Drosophila melanogaster: one gene and its partner. The protein of the gene in region 1 purifies or fractionates together with the protein of each later gene. This does not show direct contact. Each region holds a gene or a part of one and is shown in the gene's direction. Other genes may lie near its edges. The genes, in order: CG15818 and CG10184.

What was found.
Region 2: the proteins of CG15818 (region 1) and CG10184 purify together in Drosophila melanogaster (affinity purification with mass spectrometry, with the first as the bait; one large-scale study listed by BioGRID). This does not show direct contact.

Annotation. Positions count from the first base shown.
Region 1 is NT_033779.5:7,409,030-7,413,045, forward strand, and holds CG15818 (uncharacterized protein), read left to right. Parts: upstream 1-1,879; 5' UTR 1,880-1,925; coding exon 1,926-2,777; 3' UTR 2,778-3,200; downstream 3,201-4,016. Other genes in the region: CG5181 (uncharacterized protein), read right to left, coding at 1-480, 544-675; chm (chameau), read left to right, coding at 3,478-4,016.
Region 2 is NT_033777.3:23,601,710-23,607,094, reverse strand, and holds CG10184 (uncharacterized protein), read left to right. Parts: upstream 1-1,599; 5' UTR 1,600-1,682; intron 1,683-2,067; 5' UTR 2,068-2,070; coding exon 2,071-2,281; intron 2,282-3,192; coding exon 3,193-3,267; intron 3,268-3,332; coding exon 3,333-3,741; intron 3,742-3,981; coding exon 3,982-4,118; intron 4,119-4,176; coding exon 4,177-4,496; 3' UTR 4,497-4,588; downstream 4,589-5,385. Other genes in the region: CG31145 (uncharacterized protein), read left to right, coding at 46-244.

The DNA of each region.
Region 1 (4,016 bases):
ACGCCGTTCCCCCTTAAGGCCACCTCGTCCTCCACCTCCACGGCCGCCACGGGTGCCAGGTTTCGTTGTCGTTTGGGGTGCGATTGCTGGCGCCGCAGCAGGAGCTGTGGTCACGGCGCTCTGGGTGGCGGGAGCACCTGGTGCAGCAGCCACCGCGGGCTGTGGAATGCCCGTGGCACCACCCTTAGCGGGCAAGCCAGGAGCACCACCACCGGCCGGAAGTCCCGCCGGAGTAGCAGCAGGATTTGCCACCGCCTGCTGCTCCGCCCGTTTCGGTTCACTCATATTGACGCTCTCGTTGAAGACCATGCAGTACTCGCCGATCTTGAACACCTCGCCGTTCTTTCCGGAATAAAGGGTCAGACAATGCCTCCAGATGGAGGCGTAGCCCTTTGTCAGTCTGACAATATCACCGGGTGCTATCAGTTTGCCCGGCTCGTCCCAAATCGAAACATTGATGCAGGCCGTAGGATCGCCCACCTTATAAACATTGTTTTCACTATATTATTTGTTTTTATGTGAATAATGCAACGATGGACCCACCTTGAAGTTCCTCACTTCGCGGTTTTCTTTTGTAACGGTGGCCACGCCCACTTCCAGGACAATAAAGATAACATTGATGTTCTTCAGACCCGGCTTTATGTCCTTAATAGGAATGCATTCCACGTTATACATTGCAGAATGAGCAAGAGTTTTTAAAAAGTACAAAAATGATTTGTTTTGTTTTGGCGTAGTGCAGCGTTGCCAGACGTTGAAACGGCTTTAGTGTGACCTCACCTAAGACAACCAAAAATACTTTAGTTTGCTTTGGAACTGATTATTCCAGTTGTTTCATCCAATTTTTTTTTAAATTTTATTTCTTACCATCTAATTTGAATTGTTATATATACATTTATTTTATTTATCGTTTAGTAAATTAAAAATATTAATTTTTTTTCTTGATCAATCATCTCATAATAAGTACAGCGAATGTTGAATAGATTCTATTTCAACGGAAGGATAACTTTATATTTACAAGCAAACATTACTTTATCAATTTTGTTAGTTCGTGATTAGAAACCCTATAAGTAATTCAAAAACTAACACACAAGCAACAAATTTAATTGTGGTCACTAAATTAGGGAACCACCCTAGATAAAAAAGCTTTATCATTTCCGGCAGATGTGAATCATTTTAAATTTCTACATATATCATTCTTCTGACTGTGCTAGCTTTCGATTATTTCAACATAGGGGCGTAGATAAAATCTACAATTAACCAGATAATTTAATTGGAAACCTCCAGAGCAGTTAAGTTCAATAAACCGGTGAAAGTGGGCACAAAAAAGAAATTCCTGGAAGAGCAAACAAGTTGACATTAATTAATCAAGTGATGATTATCTAACATTACAGCCGTTACTCGTAGAGAAAAAAAGTATACCTCATTCGTTGATGAATATGCAACAGGTAAATGGAATTCTCATTTCGGATCATTAGTTGATCTGGCCATTTCCGTTTGTGATTTTGGTTACCATAAAAGCTATAAAGATAAGATCGAGCGTGCAGATCCTATAAACGCAACGCAAGTTTGTTTCAGAAGATGGACACGCCCAATATATTTTGATTTTATTATTTAATTTGTTAAATTCTTTATATATACGCACTCCCGCTAGCTGAGTGATCTAATAGTGGAGGATATCGACTTTAGCGCTGATTTCAGAAATGAAGTATGTCATTAAGTTGAAGTACATATCTACTTTACTACCATACCATATTGACAACGCTTTACAAATAATGATAACTTATGATACCACATCAAATTTCTTGTGACAATTTTAATAAGAAGATCAAATATGCTTATCAACCATATTGCCGGGCCTTTAAAAAGAGAGCCAATTACTTCAGTATCAGTTCTTTATCAAGCTTCAACCTCAGTGGTTGTCCAAAATGTTTAGCTCTACGAGAATTATTTTGTGCGCATTTCTATTGCTGTATCCTTACGGATCCCTGATAGAAGCCCAGGAGGGCAGGCGCTATGTGTGTCTATTATCAGATCCTCCCAATCAGTGCAGTGAATATTGCGTATCCGCACTGCAGCCGGTCATCGATCACCTTTCGAAGGAGCAACAGGACTGGGGAGCCTGCGAGGTGAAACTTAATGGAAGCGTCGCGAAACTGGATAAGATCGAAGACCAGTTGACGGCGACACAAATCCAAATAGAAGCCCAGCAAGCATTCCTTGTGAACAACATTTCGAAGGCAATCAAAACCGAGGACCTTGAGCAAAAACTAAAGGATATCGAAGGCAATCAGACAGCGCTGAGTAATCAGTTGAAAGATGGACAGAAGAGGACGGAAAACCAGTTGACAGCCATCCAGAAGACTCTATCCGATATCGAAAGGAAACTCGTGCTGCAGAGATATCAACAGATAGGATCGAGATATTTCTACATCGAACACAACTTACAGGTGAACTGGAGGACCGCCGAGCAGAGGTGCATTGAAATGGGCGGCCACCTCGCAGCATTCCAAAATGCCGAGGAATACAACGCCATAGTGGGCCAATTGAACAAGGCGAACTACTGGCTGGGTGTCAACGATCTGGCCAAGCAGGGCGAGTTTATATCCTTGGCCTCCGGCAAACGAGCTACCTACTTCAAGTGGCGCAAAAATGAACCCAAATACAATAATCCTACCCAGCACTGCGCCTACGTTTTTGGGCACGAAAACATTATGATCGTTCTGTCCTGTACCACTGACGTTATGCATTTCATTTGCCAATCAGACAGTGATGTTTAGTTTTAAAGTATCAACACATGTATGAATGAATATTACAACAAAACCACAAATACTATAATTCACTTTACTGCATTTGATGCAAAAATTGATGGGAACATTTAATAACGCTTTTAGCAATAATTTTTCTTTGTGAGAGGGTTTAAGGGCAATTTTTTTTGACAACAAGTGATTGCCACAGATAGGAAATTATTTCGTTTCAAATTGTCAAAAAAGTCGACATGGCGCCGTAAATAAATTGGCTGAAATGAGTAATAGGCTTAAGAGATTGCTGTTATCGAATTTATTTTATTTGTTTTTCTGGTTTTGGTTCCCCGCACGTCGTAAATTAAGATTGATTCCTCGTTAAGATTATTAAATTTATCGTACTCGACAAGCACTCTTTATAAGCAACAAATGAATAAAGAAATTTTCGACTTTAATCACAAAAACTGGCTTATATCAATTTTAAAAACTCCTATTAAACAAGGCAATAAACTGTGTAGGTTCGTATTTCAATTAATATTTGCTAACTAAAATATTTTTGGAATACGATATTTTTGTGCCCTAGTTGCACATCTCTAGCATATTATAAGCCGATAGCTCCGGCCGATTCCCATGGCGTTCCGCTTGGCATCCACCTCTGGCCACTCTAATCAAAACAATACAGGAAAACAGGCATTTTTGTGTACAAATATTAAAAAAAACATTCTGCGCTACAAAAATGGCCTTGGAGTCCGGCAGCAGCAGCTCGGAGTCGGGCAGCTCATCCACAAGCGGATCCACCAGTTCGGAAACGGGCAGCAGCTCGGACACGGATTCCAGCAGTGCGACGCCGGAGGAGAAGCCATCCACGAATTCCTCCGCCAAATCCCAGACGCAAACACAACAACAAACTAATTCCGGAAATGCACAGAGAAGAAAGCCTGTTCCTGCGGCGTCGGAGGATAAACCCAAGCCGAGCGTAGCGCCATCTAGCAAAAAAGTAAACAATCCTCCCAAAAGTAAACTCTCCAGCGATGACGACGAATATGAGGACTCGGCGCCGCCGGCCAAAAAGAACTCACGTGCAATGGGCAGTTCCACTGTAACAGCGGCAGCTGCCGCCTCAGCAGCCAGGAGAAAACCACCCGCGTCCGTCAACAAGCCAAGCAATCCCGCTAACAAACCGAGCAATCCTACCCAGCGATCGGCCAACAACAACACAAATCGATCACTGGAGAACGGCGAGGGCAAGCGACCCTCGCTCTCCTCCTCGTCCAA
Region 2 (5,385 bases), on another chromosome or scaffold:
TGATTAAAAGCAATATTTAAATGAACTATTTTATTTATCTGATAGCTTCCACAATGGTCCCAAGCCGCTGTCCCAGCTGATGAGCGAATCCCTGAGCCAGGATCCCGTCAGTCCGGTGCTCTGGCAGCCGCACCTGGAGGCGCTGGACCGCCGGACCGGCATCATCCTGCAAAGCATACGCGACTGCATAAAGCGCAATCCGCCGGGCGACGTGGACGGATCCGAGACGGACGTCTCCTCGTAGCGATAAGGAGGCGACCGGAGTGAGCCCACACAACATCCTAGAGCATTAGATTAAATCCCCTAGCTGTTAGTCGCGTGTCCTGTGTGTTGAAACTGAAACAAAAAAAAAAAAAAAACAATTAGCGTTAATGTTGGTGGCAATCGGTCTTTGAAAAAGATCAACGTCCTAAGTGAAGGAATCCCTGTCGCTCCATCTGCACATACCAAAAAACGGAAATTAGAAAAGAAACCGAAAAGAAGGCCAAGAGCCGAGGGCGGAAATGAATTCACTCCAAGTTTATACTTTCACCTAGATTGTTTGTCGCGCTGCTGGAAAATGCTTTGATTGGCAATGAAATTTGAGTACCTCCCACCCAATCGCACACGCCCAAATCAAACCGAGCACTATCGTACGCTTACAGTGGGTGCCAAAAGTAAACGAAGACGCAATGTGCAAACAACTTGAATGTGAAAGTATAAACTAAAATATAGGGCAAATCTTGACATTTTGCCAGCGTGCGCCAGAAGGAAACTTGTTCAAAAGACTATAAAACATAAACAACAAGAACTAAAACTGAAAGGATAACTACAAAAAATTGAAACTATTTTCTAAATATTTATTTATAATTTTTGCATACATTTTATGACTTTTACATATACACTTTTGCATACACTTTTCTCGTATGCAATGATGCCCCTACTTCCCACGCCCATTCTCAAGAAAAGTTGTTGCAAGTTTAGTTCGTAAGTTGACCTAACATTATGATCGATATCAGGCGTAGCTTTATCCGATTCAAGGATCGTCTTATTAGTTAGTCCAATCAGTTCCAGCGAGAATCATGTACTTCATCATGTCGGAAGCAAAACAAAACGTGAAACAACTACTGTTAACAAACTAATTCATACTATTATTGAGTACATAGCTAAGTTAAATTTGTTTTTATTATTGTAACGTTTTTCAATTGTACCTTGAGTGGTTGAGATAGAGATCATTGATTGGCCAAGAAAAGAAAAAGTGACAGGTGAATTGAGTGTGAAAACTATGAGAAAAGAACAACAAAAATGTGTTAGACATAGTAAAATTTTAGTGAAAATTTCTGATGTAATTAATAAAAAAGTACCAAAGAAATCTTGTGTGTTTTAATAGAGTGCTATTACAGATCACATTCCGTTCCTGAAATAGAATCTTAGTGTGGGCAGGGCTTAAAGAGCATGGCGTTCGGCTCTTCGAAAATTTGTATAAAAAGAGAAAAAAATATTAAAAGAGAATTTAGATATCTCTTATACTAAAAAAAAGAAGAAGATCGATCGCTGCTCAATTGGGAACAGTATTATCATTGCGGAGGTTGCCTTATAAAGAAGGCCATTTAGCAGCTGTTGGGGTCAGTTTTTCGCTAGCTCTGAACGGAGCACGTTGTGTGATTTTTTTCGCTTAGTTTTTTTATCAATTAGGTTTCCAAGTGAGTTCTGTGATGTTTTTTTGTTTACTTACGTGTTTTTTTTTTTTTTTTGACAAATTGAATTATGTCTATTAAAGTTGAATAAAGGTTGAACGAGTTCAGCCGGGAGATCAAGTGTTAAAAGTAAAATAATGATTATGCAATCGCTCAACACACCATATTCCAATTCCATTCGAATGTCCAGAAGTGATTGTTTTCATTTGGTGTTGGGCCCCCAACCGCCTATCGCCCCATTGCCCATATCAATTATTTAAGGCAGTACAACTGACGTGTCTCAATGTAAATGAATGAGTTCGCGATTCCATGGGGGATTTGCTGCTGGCCATAAAGATGGAAAATCAACATAGCCCACCTTATGCAAATATCCCAGCTAATCAACTTGCAGAAAATGACCACCCATTCCGTTGTTGACCTGCGCTCGGACACCGTCAGCCAGCCGACGGACAAGATGCGGGCCCGGATGGCCACCGCCGTGGTCGGGGATGACGTTTATGGCGAGGATCCCACCGTCAACGAACTGGAGGCGCGAACAGCGGCCATTTTCGGCAAGGAGGCGGGCCTCTTTGTGCCCAGCGGCACCATGGGAAATCTACTGGCAAGTGAGTGGCAACTGCCAGGAGTCGTAAATAAGCCCGGCTCATTTTCCGTCTCTGCTTTAGTGGGTTTCCGTAGTGGGGAATCGCTTATGTTTATTAGTTTAAAGCGAGGCCAGTCTCAGATTACACAAAAGGTGGCTGGTTGCGTGGGCGTGGGCCGAGCGAAAAGGTGAAAGAAACAAGAAAGCAGTGCTCATATCATGCATCAGGTACATTATCGTAAAGGCTAAGGGCAGCCATAAACATAACATTAATTTTTATAGACTTTAATATTAGACGTGGACGTGTGCCACACAGTCGAGGTCGAGCAAGGGAAAAGAAAAACTGAAGGATAAAGGACGAAGTTGCAAGGAGCTACCGCTTTGGGCATCGCAATCTGGAGTAATTTATGCTTTCGCTCAAATTAATATTTCTAATGGAATTTGAAGTTTGCATTTTATTCAAAAGAAAACTGCTGCACTCATACTTGTGATTGTGATAATTTTTCAAGAGGGTTGCTCATTTGGTATGCAGCAATAAAAGAGTGATATTTATATGAGTACTTCCTGGTCTTAATTAAGATATTTCATTTAAGAACTCGAAAATAAGGGAAAAGGCATTTCAGTTTACTATGTTCATTATCAAATCATAATAAACCTTATCTTAGAAAGATTATGCACACTTAAAGCTAGTTAAATATCTATTAAATTACTAGGTATTAAATCTTTACAGGAGTAATGCAAATTTTTAAACGATAAGAATCATTAGCTAAATTTTGTAAAGTAAGAAGTGCTATTGATATCAGTAACAATTAGTAAGGCTGTAGTAGTTGTATTAAAGATGAGTTCAGAGCTAAACCGAAAAGCCTGTGGCTGAATCCTTGATTATCCCGAGCCAAGCGAATACTCCAATGTTTCCCTTGATAATCTCCCCAGTTATGGTTCACTGCCATCGTCGTGGCACGGAGGCCCTGGTCGGCGATTTATCGCACATCTTTCTGTACGAACAAGGTGAGAAGAGCAAACACTCCGCCAGGACTCAACGACTCCAGAGCGTTTTCATTAATCACGTTTAGGTGGCGCCTCGCATTTGGCCGGAGTCCAATTAGCCACTCTGAAGAACGAGCAGGATGGCACCTTTAGTCTGCAGGATCTGCGCCGCAGGATACGCCACGAAGACTGCCACGAGCCCATCACCTCGCTGGTGGTGGTGGAGCAGACCCACAATATCTGCGGTGGCAAAGTGGTGCCTCTGGCCTTCTTGGATGAGCTAGCTGCTCTGGTCCGACAGCCGGGCGTGGGCACTGGGAACGCCCGTATCGCTCTACACATGGACGGAGCGAGGGTCTTTAATGCGGCCACCGCCTTGGGCGTGGGAGTGGAGCGCATCTGCCGCGATTTCGATTCGGTATCTATCTGCCTCAGCAAGGGCTTATCGGCTCCCGTGGGATCCGTGTTAGTCGGCTCCAAGGCCTTCATTTCGGAGTGAGTTTAACCCGGCATGACGGCATGAGTGTCTAATACGCTGCTTGCCGGCTAATATTTGCTTTTCCGGGTTCCGGTGACTCCAATACTTCGATATAATTACGGAAATTGGTGCTTAGCTGCAGTCCATTTTTAGTTATTGGTAACTGTATCTTAGTAATGGAATTATTTGACACTACTTACATATAATATAATTTTATATTTGATGTTAGCCAATAACAAATACCTTTCTGCGTATAGAGCCCATCGACTGCGCAAAGCTTTGGGAGGCGGAATGCGGCAGGTGGGAGTGTTAGCAGCAGCTGGACTGGTAGCTTTGGATGAAGTGGTACCACTTCTGAGCAAAGATCACGAGCGGACCAATAAAATTGCCAACGGTTGGTGTCATGACGTCTAACATAATTGCACACCTATAAATATCTATTTCCTTTTCAGCTATATATGAACTGAAAAGTCCCAACATTACCGTACACGTGTCGTCTGTCCAGAGCAATATCCTTCTGGTAGAGATAACCCAACCCAAACTGACGGCCAGTGAGTTCTCCACCCGGTTGAGCATCGTTGATGCTGGTGAAGTGGAAGCCGGAGTGAAGGACAAAAACGGAGCCGGAATCGTGGTGAAGGCTAGTGCCCGGGATTGGGCATTTGCGAGACTTGTGCTCTACCATCAGGTGGACGATGAGCAAGTGGACCTGGCCATCAGGAAGCTGAAGTACGTCATCGGCCAGTACGACAAGCAATTTCCCAGGACCTAGACATTTGTAATTCTTTTGAATATTACTGGAAAGACAAACACAATTAGATTTTGCATTTTGTCGTTTAATTAAAGACATAGAGGGAGCAAAAGAAGATCTCAAATTTGTATTATTGCCCCTTGAGTGGGTCCGAGCTGCGTTTACATTCACGCATGACCGGGCATCGTTCCGTCGAAGCTGATGGACATCCGGCCGGGCTCCAATCCCACCGCCCATTGGGCTGCTGCTCCGCCGACTCCTGCTCCATTTCCCCAGAAGTTTTCCCTTGTGTGTCTGCATGAGTGCCCGGCTGAATGAAATAATAAAATTATTTTTAAAATATTATTGTCAATCCAGCGATGTGCTCATCGATTTAAAAGCCTGCAGTGCCCAGTGCTCCATCCTCGCAGCCATCGGACAGTTGTGATTTATAAGCAAACTTATCGCCGGCGAAGGCGGAATGCGCTCAAAATGATTGGATACCGGCATCCAGGGTCTCTGTGTGTTCCCTTACAATGGATTAGAGAGCTGGGCTGAGTGAATAGCAGAGCCATACGAGGGGGCGGGGCACGGCATTGAAATGTTATATTTTATAAATTATGCTATGCCAAATGAAACGAAATTCAATTAGAGAAATTGCTGAAGCATTTGATAAATTGAAATTGAATTGACTCGGCCAAAGTTGGTCCTTTGTCTGCATTTTGAGCCTCCGTAGATTCTGGCCGGGATTAATGTGTAACGAAAAGTCATCTGCCCAAATGGCAAGTAATTATGGAAGGTTGATTTTTCGGAACTGCACCACTGGAACAACAACAACGAAGTCGAGTTGTGCCCGAAAGTATGCAATGTCCCCATTAAAGAGCCACTTTTCACTCTCACCCCCAAAAGCACACGCATGCGAGCTTTGCGC